Tamandua tetradactyla: one gene and its partner. The protein of the gene in region 1 purifies or fractionates together with the protein of each later gene. This does not show direct contact. Links are inferred from orthologs where the notes say so. Each region holds a gene or a part of one and is shown in the gene's direction. Other genes may lie near its edges.

Region 1 (7,556 bases):
AAATTTAGTAGATTGAAATGCTAGTGAGCAATGAAAGGGAGTGGTAAGGGGTATAGAAAAAAATAGGGGAAGCAGAGGCTAAAATTTATTGGGTAGATGGAAATATTGGTGGTCAATGAGAGGGAGGGGTATGGGGTATGGTATGTATTATGTATGAGTTTTTTTCTTTTTCTTTTTTATTTCTTTTTCTAGGTTGATGCAAAGTTTCAGCTCATTCTAGGGTTTTTCTTAATCCCTTGATGCTGAATCTCAGCTCATTCTGGGATTTCTGTCCCACGTTGCCAGGAAGAGCCACACCTGTGGGAGTCATGTCCCACGTAGACAGGGGGAGGGTGGTGAGTTTACTTGCTGTGTTGGCTGGAGAGAGAGGCCACATCTGAGCAACAAAAGAGGTTCTCCTAGGGGTGACTCTTAGGCCTAATTTTATGTAGGCTTGACCCCTGTGGGGTTAAGTTTCATATGAACAAACCCCAAGACTGGGGAAAGCCCATTTTTTAATAAGTCACTTCATCTGAAATTATAAAAGAAATTTTCTTATATTAACAATGATACAAACAGTGGTTATGTTCTTAGGTTCCCTTCAACTACTTAATTTAAAATTAATACAAAATATAGTCCAATCTAAGTATATCTATGATACATAAGTAACATTTTATAGAATTATTTCCAGGATTCCAAATTGGAAGGTATTATTTCAGTTATTTACTGCTATGTAACAAGTTATTCAAAACTGAGCAGCTTAAGGCACTAACTTTTTAATTATATCTCAGGATTTTAATGGGTAAGGAATTTGCTTCAAGGGGTATAAACTGAGATTACTCAGTGGTATTCAACTCGTGGATGTGCTGGTCTGGACAGTTCAAGATGGCTTCATTCCCATGCCTGGCACCTAGGTGGGGATGGCTGTAAGGCTGTGGTCTGCTGGCTCTGTTGACTGGAATGACTACATATGGCCTCTCCAGCATGATGTTCTCAGGGAAGTTGTTTTTGTTACATGGCAGTTCAGAGTTCCCAGAAAGACTGTTTGAAGAGACCAAGGCAGAAGCTCTGAAGCTTCTTCTCACCTACTGTCAGATGTCATGAGATATCACGCTTTGGCCACATTTACTGAATCACAGGGCCGGTCCAGATTAAAGGAGAGGGACTACACAAAGTTGTGAATTCATGTAGGCCTGGTTCATTGGAGGATCATCTTTGGAGATTCTTCCACAGCAGATATTTAATATTCTAACTGTGTGCAGGTGAAAGTACCACTCACATCTTCACCAGGAAAAGTTATATTAATGAGTCTCAATGGACTCTTAAAGAAATCTACTGTTCCACTGCTAAGGCTGAATAATGAAAACATTTTTTATACTTGGAAGAAAACTGGGATTAACCAGTTTTTTATCAATCTTTTGGTCCCCTAACAAAATATTTCTTAAAGCTGTTTTTGCCTAGTACCGCTATTCTTTATTAGCACGACAGAATAATTTTTGTATCTGTGCTTTTCACATAGTGTTTTTCTCTGCCCTGGTTCAGTGATGACACTCAAGATCTTTGTTTTTCCTTGCTGAAAAGTATCTGTTTCAGGACTGAAAACAGAAGGCTCTTGCAGACACTTCCCTTTTTGGCTTTTGTTTTCATAAAGCCTGAGCTTCCAGAATCTGTTGGGAAAGGGGAAGGAAGTGTCAAGATTTGAAAGGCAACAGAAGTTGGTCAATACCATGAGGAGCAGAGGTTCTTAGAACTTCATTCCTTGGCCCTTTCACCATTCCTTTCCCTTCCCACAACCAGGAAGTCTCCTAACTCACTTCTTTGGAATCTCTAGGGATCCATGGAGTGGTGTCTAAAAATCACTACTCTAAATCAATCATTCCTCATATCTTCTGAACTGGTTATAAAGGGGAAGGATGGAGTAAAAGTTGAGGAACTTCAGATATGGGTGACTGTGCTTCTTTTCTGGATTGTAGGGCATGAAGGAAACAGAGTTAAGAGGTGATTATAACTTTTCTAGCCTGGGAGTATGGAAGATGATGATACTCATCATCACAACTGGAAAGCTGAATAGTTGAATTAAATATTGGCAGGGAGCAGAGGATAATTAATTTTATTTCTGCAGAGTTAATTTTGAGATTATGATAGAGCATTCTAAACAAGGTGGCCTCTAGGCAACTGGAGATGGAAATGTCACACAAGTGAAAAGCTGGGATTGACACAGATTTGACAACTGTTGAAGTGAGCTCATAGAGAAGAGCAGTGGGCAGAGGACAAAGCCTTCAAGAAATTCTGCTGCAGTGTGGCTGAAAGTTGGTGGCCCATCTGACATCTACAGCCTGCAGGAATGTTTTACCTAGCGTACACATTATTTAAATTATTTTTAAATAAATGGGCAATTTATTTAAGAACTGGGAGTTTTCACAAAATCTGGGTTATGGCTTTTCTTGAAAATAGGAAGACTTGACAGTGTTAGCCTATCTTGCCCATGGAGGAAGTTGAGTCCCCACTGCCTCCTTTAGATGAAGGAGCGGCTGTCCAGGTGAACACGGTCCCTTCTAATAAACTTCACCTACTTAATGGCAGCAAAAAAGATTAAAAACAACAGACACCAAAAGTGTTAGATTTTGTTGTTGTTTTACAGACGGGGAGAATAAACATATTTGTTTTCTCCCCCCCCCCCCACACACACCCCTTTAGAGAGGTTGAGAAAAGGGAGAAATCAAAGTTGTTAGAAGATGGGGACCATTAATAGGATCCAGAGAGTAGATGAAGTTGGAAAATGCAGATGAAAAATTAGTCTTAGGGAAGGAAAGCACTGTCATCCCTGGAGTAAAAATCTGTCATTCACCAGACTGGACTAACAAATACACATAAAGCCAGCTGCAAAGTTAACAAGAAATAGTATTTCTCCCAAGGACATGTTGCATCTGTAAAGAGTCACAATGATCCCATTCTTTGAGTGACTTTTGCTTTCTTACTGAGAAACTTTGATCTCTAAAATCAGACTATCAGAAATTGCTGTTAGAGATTATAGCATTAAGAATGAAACATCCCAGTGTCACCTGGAGGACTGAAGACATAGAAAAGAAGCCTCAAATTCCAAGCCAGGTGCAGAGCTTTGGAGAAGGGGTCTCTGAAGACTACATTCCATGTCTCTCACCTTTATAATTTCTAAAGGAACAGGACCCTGGGTCCACTTGGCGGTCCAGTCCCGGTACTGACCCCTTGACTCACACAGCCGGTCCAGTCCCGGTACTGACCCCTTGACTCACACAGCCGGTCCAGTCCCGGTACTGACCCCTTGACTCACACAGGTGTGCTGCGCTTTGTGCTTCTCAAAACAGTGTTTCATCTAAATTTTACATAAACTCCATACATCTCCCTAATCCCGTGATAACTCCATCTTTTCCTTTGTTTGGTGAGATGCCCTAGGGTTCCTCCCAGGTGTGAGTTTTTCCTCATTGCAACGAGTTCAAAAACCTGAATCTTTTGGGGCTGTGGGTTAATCTTCGGTGGTACTAGGATGATTGGGCCAGGAAGGCACACTGGAGGTTTTCATTCCAAGCCTTCATTTTACAAACAAAAACTGGAGACCGAAAAAGAGTTCCTAACTGTCTTTTCAGTTCTCCTTCCCCAGAGCCTCAGTCATTTACACATGAAGCTATATATCCTCTATGACATCCTTCCAAAAAGAGGAAGCGAAATCAACCGTGGCGGGGTGCTCCTCAGACTTGCAATACACACGTTTACCTGAGCCTTTTAAGAACATCTTTCTGCTAACTCCAGCTCAGTCGTTTCTCAGATGTTGGGATTGATAATGTCTTAAAATTTATTATCAGCGAAGTGGAACCCTCCGATTCACCGATGGCCTCACACACCTCACCCTAGTGTTCCGTATTTCTTCAGCAACTTTCTTTCTCGCTTCCCTAGAGGGAATTTCTTTTTCCTTTTTTATTCTGGTCTCCCCAGCCGACTGTCAGGAAGGAGCAACCTCTTAAAGAGAAAGCCATGTTCCACTCTTCATCCAAATCCTCTTCCTTTGTCTGAGCAGCCGTTCTAAAAAAGTTGGGCTAGGAATCAATTTCTCCTCCAGAACAAAACTAAAGCAAGCGCTTCCTTTTAGGAATATAGCATTTTATTAAAACATACTACACGAACTGTTTAAACAACTCCCAACCCCCGACAAAGAAAAGAAAGCGCTGGGGAATATCAGTGGCAGGCGGCGGGGAGTATCCAAACGCGGTCTTTCAAGGTAGCATTCCGAGAAACTTGAATTTGCAGCTCCTCACCGAGGAACGGTCGCGGGAGGTGCCGGCTGATTGGTCGCCCGAGTGCCTCGGCCCCGCCGCGCCTGCGCCTGCGCCGTCCCCGCCCCGCCCTGAGCTGCCCTCCCCCGCTGGCCGCCGCACCCCCTAGCTCCCCTCAGCTCCCCGCCGCCCGGTCGCCGCGCCTGCGCCTGCGCCCTGGAGACTGTCGGATCAGGCGGTCTCCCGCAAGCCGGCGAGCGCACTACCGGGAGGGCAGACAGGTCAACCCGGCGGGCTCTTTCTCGAGGAGGAAGGAGGGGGCGGCATTCTGGGTCTTCAGAATTCCCGGAGGTCCCGCAGTCTGCCCCGGCCGACAAGGGAGAAGTTGGGGAGCTGCGGGACGCTCTGCCGAGTGCCGCCGCCATGGCTGCCATGATGGATCGGAAGTGAGCCTCAGGCCGACGGCTGCCGGCGCCGGCGCTTCCAGTCTCCGCTCCCCGGCTGCCCCGCCCGGGGACGCGCGGCGCGGCGTCTGCGGAATCTCCGTACCCCCGCGACCCGGGCTCGCTGGCGCTCCCCGGAGACCAGAACCTCATCAGCTCGTGCTTGCTTTCTCCAAGACTAAGCAGCGGGGAGTGGCTCCCGGCCTCCAGACCCGGCGGCGAGGAAGATGGCGGACCCGGCCGAGTGCAACATCAAAGTGATGTGTCGCTTCAGACCTCTCAACGAGTCTGAAGTGAACCGCGGCGATAAGTACGTCGCCAAGTTTCAGGGAGAAGACACGGTCATGATGGCGGTGAGTGGTTCCCCCCTCCCGCCCGTCCCTGGTCATCGGACCTGGCTGGTCGGGGAGTTCAGGGCAATGGCGAGGTGCAGAGTTGAGAAGGGAGTAGTGGTGTCCCAGCCCTCCCCACTTGGGTTTGCCGGTTCAGATAACCGTTGATAGGAAGACTGCGCAGCTGCCTGGGTTTTTCTGAATCGTCCCCACCCTGGTCTTCGGTGCCCGGTGATGGGAGGTGCCTAGACTCAGGCTGGGACACTCCCCCACCCGGGGCGCTGGAGGAACCATCCGGGGAGCAAGTTTAGTGCATAGTTGCGTTTGTTTAGGTGTGTGTGTGTAGTTACTGTTGGTGGTGCTTGTTGTTTTGGACAACCCCCATTCATAAAATACTTAGGAGAAAGTAGTTCAGCTAGCAATATTGAACTATGAGGCCAGCCCTACTGTAACTTAAATAGAGGAGATGGCTTTGTTTTATAGAAATATATAACTGCATGTTCAACCGTATTGTTTCTGTCTCGGGAGGAGAAAAATTAGCAAAATAATTCAAATATGCTTGTACCTCAGATGTTCACTCACCAGCCTTTGGAGTTATGAGTGACTTTTCTTATTAACAAAAGCAAATGGCGAATCGAGACCTAAAAAGAATAGTCAGATCGGTCAAATAAGTGCCCAGAAGGATCCAAAATCTCCCCCTTACTGGGTTTTATGATATAATTATCTAGGAAAGAGCTTTACTATTTGGTGTATATCAGAAAGAATTATAAGAAGCAAACTTTTGAAAAAGATAGAAATTGACCAGTGAACTAGATTTCTCATTCTTGGTATTAGAGTCATACTTAACAGTTAGAATCCGTGGTGAAGAAAATTCATTTAGATAATCCCAACGATGCTGACCTAGTGTCCCTTTGTAGGGTAAAGCATAACTTAACTAGAATTGGTTTATCATTGTCAAGGGGAGCAGAATGTGAGGTGGTTGTTTTTTGATACCTGATTTTTATGCTTCTGAAAATGTAATATGGTATAATCCCATAGGACGTGAAAACAATGCTAGTCAGAATTCTAGAGGAAGGCATATCCCTACCAGAAGTGTGTCTTTCATAACCAAAAGGTCTCTGAAAATAACATTCCCAGTTCAAGGAGGTTAACGTGCATAGTAAGATACTGCATACAGAATAGTGAACTGTGGCCAAAAATAAGATTCTTCTTTCTTGGTAATAGCATGTGGCAGAACTTTTTTCTGCGTGGCTTTCGTGGTACCAATTTTTAACATGTTGATTTTTTTCCCTAATGGCATCTGTATTTACTATGTTGTTTGGGTAGCTTAATTTGGAAATGAGGGCAAAGAAGCCACAGGAGATGGGATATTGATGATTGTAAGTATTAGCATATAACTCCTTTGAGGTTTTATGTGAAGGCTCCCAAAATTCAGCTCTAGAAAATGCACGCATTAGCTCCACGTTGCTCTTGGTAGGCTTTTGGCAAACAAGTCATTAGATCACTAACACAACTGCCAACTCTTACTGTGTGAAGACTGTCAGGCTGTTTCTTTGTTAACAAGTCCACAAGAAAAACTCTTGCTATTAATGACATCATTGGGAAGACAAGAAGTTAAGTACAAAAGAAATCAGTCATCTTTTCCTTTAGAATTGTCTTCTTTGCATGGAATCAGAGGAAGCTTGCAGGGCCTGGGTTGTTAGTTGGCATACATCAGGCGTCTAGTTTCTCAGAGTTTTTGTGATTTCCCAGTTTCAACAGTGTTTGACACATCAAAGCTATTTTCCTTTAAAGCTTGTATTAAGAATGTCTTATTTCTCCAGGTTTTTTGAGTATGCAGTATCTGTAAGCATTGCTAATACTCTTTTGCTAGAATGCTAAAATTTAAAATTCATAAATTGTATTAAGGATAGGTTGGAAGTCAACCTTCTACTGCAGCCCAAATATGACATATAAAATGAGGAAAGAGCTAAAAGAAACAAATAATTACCACGGGAAGCATATGTCTATTCTAAGTAGTTTCCTTTGGAATAAGTTAAGTTGTAACCTCCTTGGAAATGTTAATAAATTTAAATGATAATATTGGAAATAATGGATAGGTGATTGAGTTGTGAATCAATTAATAACAGTTGACCTTAAGATAAACTGGTAGGCATTTTAGTCTGGTTAAAAAAAAAAAGAACAGCAACATAGTATAAGCAAAAATACAACTGAGTGACTAGCCTTGAAAAATGTGAGGCAACATAGTTCATTATTTTCGAGAATTAATTTCTTGCATATAGTAAGTACATTAATTCAAGGCCTCATATTTTTGTTCACTTTATTAAATGAACTGTTTTATTTTTTAAAAAAAGCTTGTTTGGAATTATAACGGTAGCTGGGAAGGGTGAAATTAAAAAATCTCTAAACAAAAATCCTCTCCAGGTTTGTTTTGTTAAACCTACTGGATCCTGATCCTAATTCAAAATATGTAGTTTAGGAGGGAATTGCTGCAATGCAACATCTAAAACTAAATTATTTTAAACATGGTTTTAAAACATTTTCTATACAATGCT
Region 2 (7,720 bases), on another chromosome or scaffold:
CCCTGGGGAGCCGGATTTAAACCAGCAGTCCCTGGCCTCTATTCCCCTCCCCTTAGAGAACAGTGGGTGGGTTGGTGCAAGTGTGTGTGCGTGTGTGTGAAAGACAGAAAGGGCCAGAGGGCCAGCGAGAGGGGTGGGGTGGGCCACCGCACCCCTTCATGCCATCTCTTTCCACCCAAAGTGGGAGTGTGTTCTGGTGTTCCCCTTGTTCTGAAGGAAACAGTTACTGGAACTTTCCGCCTGGCAGCTGGCACGCAAGAGGAACCTGGAAATCTGATAAAATCCATCTTTAGACCATAAAGCCAGAGACCCAGAGAGTGCAGCAGGTCAGAGCCTGAACTGGCCCCGGGCCCCTTGGCTACCCCGGTGGGCAGGATGCCGGCCAGGCCCCACCCGTGCCCCGTCCCCAAGCCTGAGCCCTGCAGACCGCAGACCGCGCTCCAGGACTGCTCCCCGCGCCCTGCTGCTGCCCTTCCTCCTCTCTTCTTGGGTTCTCTTCTCCCCCTCCCTCTCTCTCTCCTCCTTTCTTTCCTCCCCCTCCCCCTTTCCCTTAAATTCACTGAGGATGATGCCTACCAGTGCAGGGTTCTCAGGAGCAAAGATGAACCCAGAACCCCTGCCTGCCCTAAAGGGGCTCCTGGCTGTCCTGGGAGACAGAAATCCAGAGTTTACAGGAAAATGATCAATGCTAAAAGAACAGACACCCCCTTTCCCCCGCCAACCCAGGTTTCCCCAAGACAATTACTGCCTGGCTCAGCACCCATCTGGCCCGGCGCCCTCCCCCTGACCTTCACCTGTGGGGCCTGCCCACCTGCCCAGCGAGTGTCCCTCCTCCACTGTGTGTCCCAGGCCCGGGGTGCCTCACACATGCAGTCCTCAGTCAACAATGGGGACAGAACGAATACGGGGTGGCATGCTCCCCGATTATCTGTGAGGCCTCCGGCCTGACAAACTCCAAGAGGTCGCTATCTGCGCCCTCACGGGACCCAGCTGGACGTTTTCACTGCCCCTGCAACAGGGACTTCAGCCCTGGGGTCTGCTGGGCCCTAGCGGCTGCCTCCAAGGGTGTCGCTTCTGCCCCAGCCTGGCCAGATTTCCATGCTGCCTGTGACTCTCTCCAGTGTGGGAGCACAGCAGTGGGGGAGCTGGGGCTGGCTTAGGAGGAGAAGAAAACAGAGGAGGGCCGAGGACGAAGCCTTGGAGAGAGGGAAGCAGAGAAGAGATGGGAGGAGGGGGCTGAGGCAGGCGGGGGCCCCCTTTTCAGGGTGTGCAGGCACCCTGCGTGCTGAAGAGCCGCTGGCTAATCCCCCACAGCCTGGGGGCCTCAGAGGTGTTCAGAGACAGCCAGGACTTGTGCAAACAGGCATTTCTGGTCCACCCTGGGACTCCCCCCCAGCCACTTATGCTCCCACGGCCCTCTGCACCTCCTGGTTTAGGGGAAGAACAGGCAATTGGTTTGCTGACTCTGAAGTAGCCCCAAGGCCTTCCCCGCTTCCAGGTTCCCACCAGACACTGATGATGACTTGGCTGGGCCTGCATCTGGAGCACAAGGCCCTGTTTTGATTCTGGAACCTGAGGAGCCATTCCTTTCCTGGAGGCAGCAAGAAATCACAGAATTTGCAGAGCGAGTGGAGTGAGGATGCTGAGGGCAGTGAAGGGAAGGCGGGCACGACCCTCTGCCTGGACAGCCCTGCCCTCCTTCCCTCCTGCCCTCCAGCGGGCAGCCAGGCAGATCCTGAGACCACCCCCAGGGTAACTGCGGAGTCACCAGACCTGCAGCCTTCAGGCAGAGCACCCATGTCTTTTTGAGGACAGGCAGATTTCTCTCCAGGGAGGCTGAGGGGTGGAGGGTGGCAGCTCTGGCTGCTAATGGTTCCCTTTAAGGCTTGGCCAAAGGGAGAATGGGAATTCTTGAGGATGGGCCTTAGTTCCAGGGGTCAGAGTGCCTCAAGTGTCTGCTCCACCAAAGGGGAGCTCCGTGCAAAGAGGACCTGGAGGAGGCCATCCCTGACCTTCCTTTCTCTTTTCACCCTCACAGTGGGGGGGGTGAGGAGGGGGTCCAGTTGCCTCCAGCTCTGGGGCTCACTATCAGAGGGGGGTGTCAGCTGTGTAACCTGCCCACATAGTGAAGGAAAGGAGCATAGGGGGAAGTCTAGGGAAGGTGGGAGCTTAGAGGAAGTCTTCTTGGAGGAAATACCTCTTGGCTGATCTTGAAGGAGAGCCAGGACAAGGGGGCAGGGGGTGCATTCTGGGCAGAATGGACACTTAAATCCAGGGTGTGACCATGGGAGGGAACAGGTGAGCTTGGGCATGGGTGAGGGTGTTAGGGGCAAGAGGACCGGGTCCTGTGGGTCTTCCAGATGAAGTTAAGGAGTTTCAACTTGGCCCTGAGAGGGGTGGATGCATCACAACACTTCAAGTCACATCACTAGATTCACATGTTAGGGTGGGGTAGATGAACCCAGCTTTCAGTTCTGTCCCCAACCCTCCAAGCTCATTCTGGCCTGAGCACCTTTGCTAGAGCACTCTTGCCCTGCACCTTTGTGCTGCCTGGTCTCTTCCTTGCTTGTCTCAGCTTTCTTGCCCTAACTCCGAGCCCATCCCTCACTGCTTGCCCAGCGTGGTCTCTGAGCCATGTCTGTTGTACATATCATTTTATGTTCACCCTGATCATGGCACGGCATGCTCAGATATTCCCCACTTCATGTGTTTGTCCATCTGTCTCTTCTCACTGGAATGTAGACTGCTGCAGAACCGGAATCTTCTCTACCCTGCTCACCAACACATTCTTGGCTCTTTTAGTGGGAATCAAAAGAGCTCAAGAAATATTTGCTTAAGGAATAAATGAATGAGATAACAAAGCCTGCACCTGTGGCAGTGAAGGGAACCGGGAAGAGATGAGTTAAATAAATACTGAGGTGGGATCTTGCCACCCCTCAGAAGTGGGGCATAAGGGCCCCAGGTTTCTTGCTTGGGTGATGGGTGCTTGGAAATGCCACTTATTGAGCCTAGAGGCACAGAAAGATAAATGAGCCTCTGCTCAGCCTGTTACGCAGGAGAGAGTGGATGCTCACAGGTCCCCTGCCTGCAGTTGCTGGGCCTGGGCCTACAGCAGTGGCTGAGAAGCAGGCAAGTTAAGGCCGGTGACAACCAGGCGCGATTTGGCCAGTGGAGGGACTTGACTCCGTCCGATTCACTGTCTCACTCTTGGGCTCTGTAACAGCTGTGTCACCATAGGTGCTCCCCCTTTCTTAGCATTTGTAAATATTTCAATATTTCAACATAACTGGACCTCCCTGGAAAAACCTAGGAGACTCACTTCCCTGGTGACCCGTAACTGCAGGGTTAAAATAGGGATAGCATCTGAAGAGGACAGGCACCAGGAAAGGAGTACAGAATGGGGGGGGGGTATGCAGGCGGACACAGGAAGCCCTCCTGCTTCCTAAAGCCACAGGGATATTTCAGGCACCTGGAGGATTCTCCCAAGCTGGTGGCAGGCAACGAAAGCTGAGCCTTGCCCCCTGAATCAGCACCGTCCTCCCGGCCTCCAGGCCGGTTGCTGGGCTGCTGAGTCAGACCTGCAGAGCTGGCAATGCAGCAGGATACACGGGGCCCTCCCTGACCTGGAAGTTCCGCCCTGCAGGGGCCTGGAGGTCCAGGCACTGCAGCAGGGGTGTGCGATGCTGCCAGTGGCTGCGACAGCAGAGCGTGGGCTTCTCTTCTCTTGCCAGGCAGTAGCTGGTTCAGCACCCTGCCCTTTCCCCTATTCCCAGCCCCAAGTGCAGTGTGGGTGAGGCCTTTGTAGGCTTTGAAGGAGGGCCTGGAAAGTCCCTCTAAGCTCACACTCTTGAGGATCCAGGGCCCTGGCGGCAAGGGAGGGGAAATGGGAGATGAGGCGGGCGCAAGGGCCTGGGCCTTTAGGGGCCCGGCTGTTAAGACCCCGAACGTACCCAGGGTCTGGCCAAGCCTTGCAGGAACCCTTCCTTCAGAGGGAGCTCAGAAAGCCTCCTTGCAGGGGGCAAGGTACGATTTCAAGGAGCAAATACGGCTTCCGACCCGGGCTTGCCACAAGGAGCGCCTGTCAGTGAATATCACTCCCGATGTATGAGGCTGAAAGGGGCCGGGCCTCGGGTGGGAAGAGGCCGGGGGCGCGGCGTTGACCGGCAGGGGAAGAGTCGGATTTTCCTCTGCCGCCCTGCCGAGCGCGTCGGGCGGAGCGGCAGCGAGCAGCCCACGGACGGCGCCCTCGCACGCCTCGCCACGTCCCGGCCCAGTGTGAACGAAGCCCCACGGGCTCCGCTCCGACCGCCAGGGACCATCAAAGGCACGCCTTCCCGGGCCTCAGTCTCCCCGCGCGCAGGCGGCGGGGGCCCGTGACGTCATGACAGGGGCGCCGCGCGGCATTGTGGGGTGGGGCGGGGCGCGGGGGAGGGGCTCGGCGCCATTTTCGGCGGCGGAAGCGGTGCCGGCTGCGGAGCTCTGAGCGCCTTTCGGCGGCGGCGGCTGCAAGGAGAGGAGCCGCGAGGAGAGGAGCCTCGTGCTTGCGCTCGGCGACCGAGAGGGACAGCGCGGCGGCCGGCCGAGGATGCTGCGGGTCGGCGGCCGGGTCAGCACCTCTCGCTCGTGACCGCGGCGCCGCGCCTGAGACACCGAGCTTCTCTGCGCGCGGCGGGCGGCCCGTCGGCGGCCCGTGCCCTCCACGTCCTGTCAGCGCGTGGCGAGCGCGGCCCCCGCAGGAGCAGGACGGTGAGTGAGGGCCGCGGCATGGTCGCCGGCCTGTCACCTTCCTGGCCCCGGCCGTCTCCTCGGTCCCCGGCCAGGTCTCGGTTCCGTCCGGGTTCGATGCCCGTCCGGGTCTTCCCGACAACAGCCCCGGTCCCCGGCTCCTCCCGGGTCTCCTTTCGGTGCTTCTCCTGGCTCCTGCCCGGTAACCTTTCCCGGTTCCCGGCCACTCCTCTGTACCCCTGCCCGGCTCCCTGTCTCGCACCGGTCCGTTCCCAGTGTCCATCCTCACCCTTGTTCCCGGCTCCGCATTCCCCGCCCGGCACTCCGCATCCCGGGCCCAACATCCCCCGCCCCCGCATCCCCCCTTCCCTCACGCCGGGCTCGGCCCTGCGGCGGGCGGGGGCGGTAGTTCCCGGGGACCGCTGCGGGTCGCGGGAGTCGCCGCGACGGGGTGGTGGCCGGCCCCGGGGACGGGGCTAGTGGGGAGGAGTGCCGCCGCCCGGGGTCTGCTTTGTCCGAATCCTCCTCCTTCCTTCCGCCCCCGCCCTCTCCCGGGCACCGCCCTGGGCGGACGCGCCTGTCATCCTCGTCGGCGACTGGAGCCGCCCGGGCCTCCATCCGGGGCCGGGTTCAGCAGAGGTCCAGCGTCGCCTGCCCCTTTCTTTTAATAACCCGATGGGAAAAGATTCTGTGCGCGGGCTTAACTCAGAGTGGCCTTGCTGCACCTAGCATGCTGCAGCCTCCGTCGTGGAGCACTTTTTTTTTCAGTCTTGAAATACTTTTTCGGTTATAAAATTTGGCGTCCCTCTTGTCTTGAAAAAAAAAATTAAAATTAAATAAAGCATTTAAAAGCTAAAATCAGTGCGTGGTGGACTGCATGGTTTTATAACTTAAGATTTGTAAGTCTTTTCCAGGTATTTTCTATCTTTGAGTTGTTGAATCTTCAGCGTGTGGTAAGGAGTACTTGCAAAAGTGGTGTTTTAAAAAGCATGAGAACAACGGAAAAGTGAAGATACATGCTATTTAAATTGCTGTGTGAAAGGGCAGTTGGGTATTTGGTTCTTTGCATTAGTTAAATTCCATAGTTTTTGTTTGGTTGGTTGGTTCTTTGTTTTGTATAACATAACTGAGCCATTGATCAAAACAAGTAGCTGGCAATAAGTTGTAATAGTTGAGTGAAAAACCCATTAGGAAATTGGAACAACCTCATTGAGTCTCATAATTGAATCAGGTTGGCAACAAGCCTGTCATAGAGGGAAATTTGACTCATTGTTGTTTCCTAAGTATTTTTAAGAATACACTGGCGTTAACTACTAAAATGTTCAGGTTGTGGGAAATTATTTATGGGAGGGTAGAAACAATTTTCCCCAAGTCATCAAGGAATGCACTGTCATATTGACCCCTGGTGCTGGTAGTGCTCCTTGCCCAGTACTCTGGAAGGCCAGGGTGGAAGCCTCACTGGACCCAGGGTTACTTTTCTTGGCAGTGTTTGCTTATAAAAACACTAGGCAATACATAGGGGGCATATTAAAAAATATGGGGGATTGAGGACAGTGATCAGATCCAAGGAGGCTAGCAGGGAGGAAGGAAATGTCCTCTGAAAGATGCACAGTGTTTTCAGTGTTTCACAATAAATAAAAACTAACTGCAATTTTTAAAATTACATATTCTTCCTTATGTTTCATAATGTTGTCTAAAAAGCCAACATGTAGCTTTCCATATAGGTCTGAAAACTGTTTAAGCATGTTACATAATTCTGTAAAAAGAAAACTAGAAATAGAAAAAGCCAAAAATTGAACAAAATGAATCTGGGAGCATTTTTAGTAGATATGTCACCAAGTAAGTGGTATGATAAACCAGTATTTTATATAACAAAGATAATTGAGTAGTGTATCTTAAACAAGAGTAAAGGAAAATTTTAAGTACCACACTGCAGGGAATAGAATAAAAATGGTAAGCAAATTCAGATCATGAAAGCATGGTGTTTTAAAAACCCACCGTCAAATGTCTATTGAGGACCAAACTCCCTAAATGCTAGATTCTGTGCCATGCAGTTGCAGATATGGCGATAAAAGAGAGTCATTCTCTAGGAAATTCTAGTCTGGGTGGGTGGGGTGAGGGAGACCCAGAATTAAACAGCTAGGCATCGTAGGTGAGGGTAGATTATGTGATGAGTGTGCTGAGAAGGGGTGGGGACCAGGGAAGGCAGGGTCTAGAGGAGGTGACTCCTGATCTGAGTCACGATGGGTGGGAGCTGGTTCTGTGCAGAGAGTGAAGTCTTCCTCCAGTAAGGGGGAAATGTTAGGAAGGGCTGAAGGGTAAGAATGGAAAGATGAGCTTATGGAAGGTGTCTTGGTTGTACAGGAGGCTGGTCTCTTCCTGAGGGGCTTAAGGAGGTCTGGAGGTACTAGTTGATTAGCGGGTGCAGACAGTGGTGTGGTAGGTGGTTTGAACAGAGATGGAAGGATGGAGACTAGTTTGGGAGTTATTGGCAGGAGTCCAGGTGAGCGCAAACTCTCGCGGTGGGAACCAAGAGGAATGGTGGGATTAGAAGGGTTTAACTAACGGCTAGAGGGGATCTGATTTGGTGACTTGCAATGGGGTGATGGTGGGGGCACTGGCAGGAATGGGGTGGGGAAGATTGGGAGTGGAGGAATCCAGGGAGCAAAGCTGGAGTGGTACTGTTAAAATGTGAGTCAGACCGTATGGTCCTCTGCTGGAGTTCTTGCTGCTGTCCCACAGCCCTCACCCCCCACCTCTTGCCCCTGCTGCCCTCACCAGCACGCAGGCGTAGTCGGGACTCTGGAAGTGTGGCAGCCTGCACCTTCCCTCCACGTTACTGAAACCCTGCCCTACTTTATCTTTCACCTTAGCAGTTATCGCTGTCTAAAATACAGTATTATTTTACTTAATTGTTTTATTTTGTTTGTTGCTGTTTCCCCCATTTACATTCTTTTATTTATTTTTATTTTTTACATGGGCAGGCACTGGGAAT

The links. The genes of interacting proteins can lie anywhere in the genome.
Region 2: the proteins of KIF5B (region 1) and KLC1 purify together in Homo sapiens (co-immunoprecipitation; 11 studies listed by BioGRID and IntAct, counting the BioPlex papers as one, with this or other methods). This does not show direct contact. The link is inferred for Tamandua tetradactyla from reciprocal best matches to the Homo sapiens genes KIF5B and KLC1.

What each region holds. Positions count from the first base shown.
Region 1 is NC_135327.1:219,148,237-219,155,792, forward strand, and holds the start of KIF5B (kinesin-1 heavy chain), read left to right. Parts: upstream 1-4,419; 5' UTR 4,420-4,896; coding exon 4,897-5,022; intron 5,023-7,556. UniProt on the Homo sapiens protein: Microtubule-dependent motor required for normal distribution of mitochondria and lysosomes. Can induce formation of neurite-like membrane protrusions in non-neuronal cells in a ZFYVE27-dependent manner.
Region 2 is NC_135340.1:89,202,427-89,210,146, reverse strand, and holds the start of KLC1 (kinesin light chain 1), read left to right. Parts: upstream 1-4,621; 5' UTR 4,622-4,746; intron 4,747-7,720. UniProt on the Homo sapiens protein: Kinesin is a microtubule-associated force-producing protein that may play a role in organelle transport. The light chain may function in coupling of cargo to the heavy chain or in the modulation of its ATPase activity.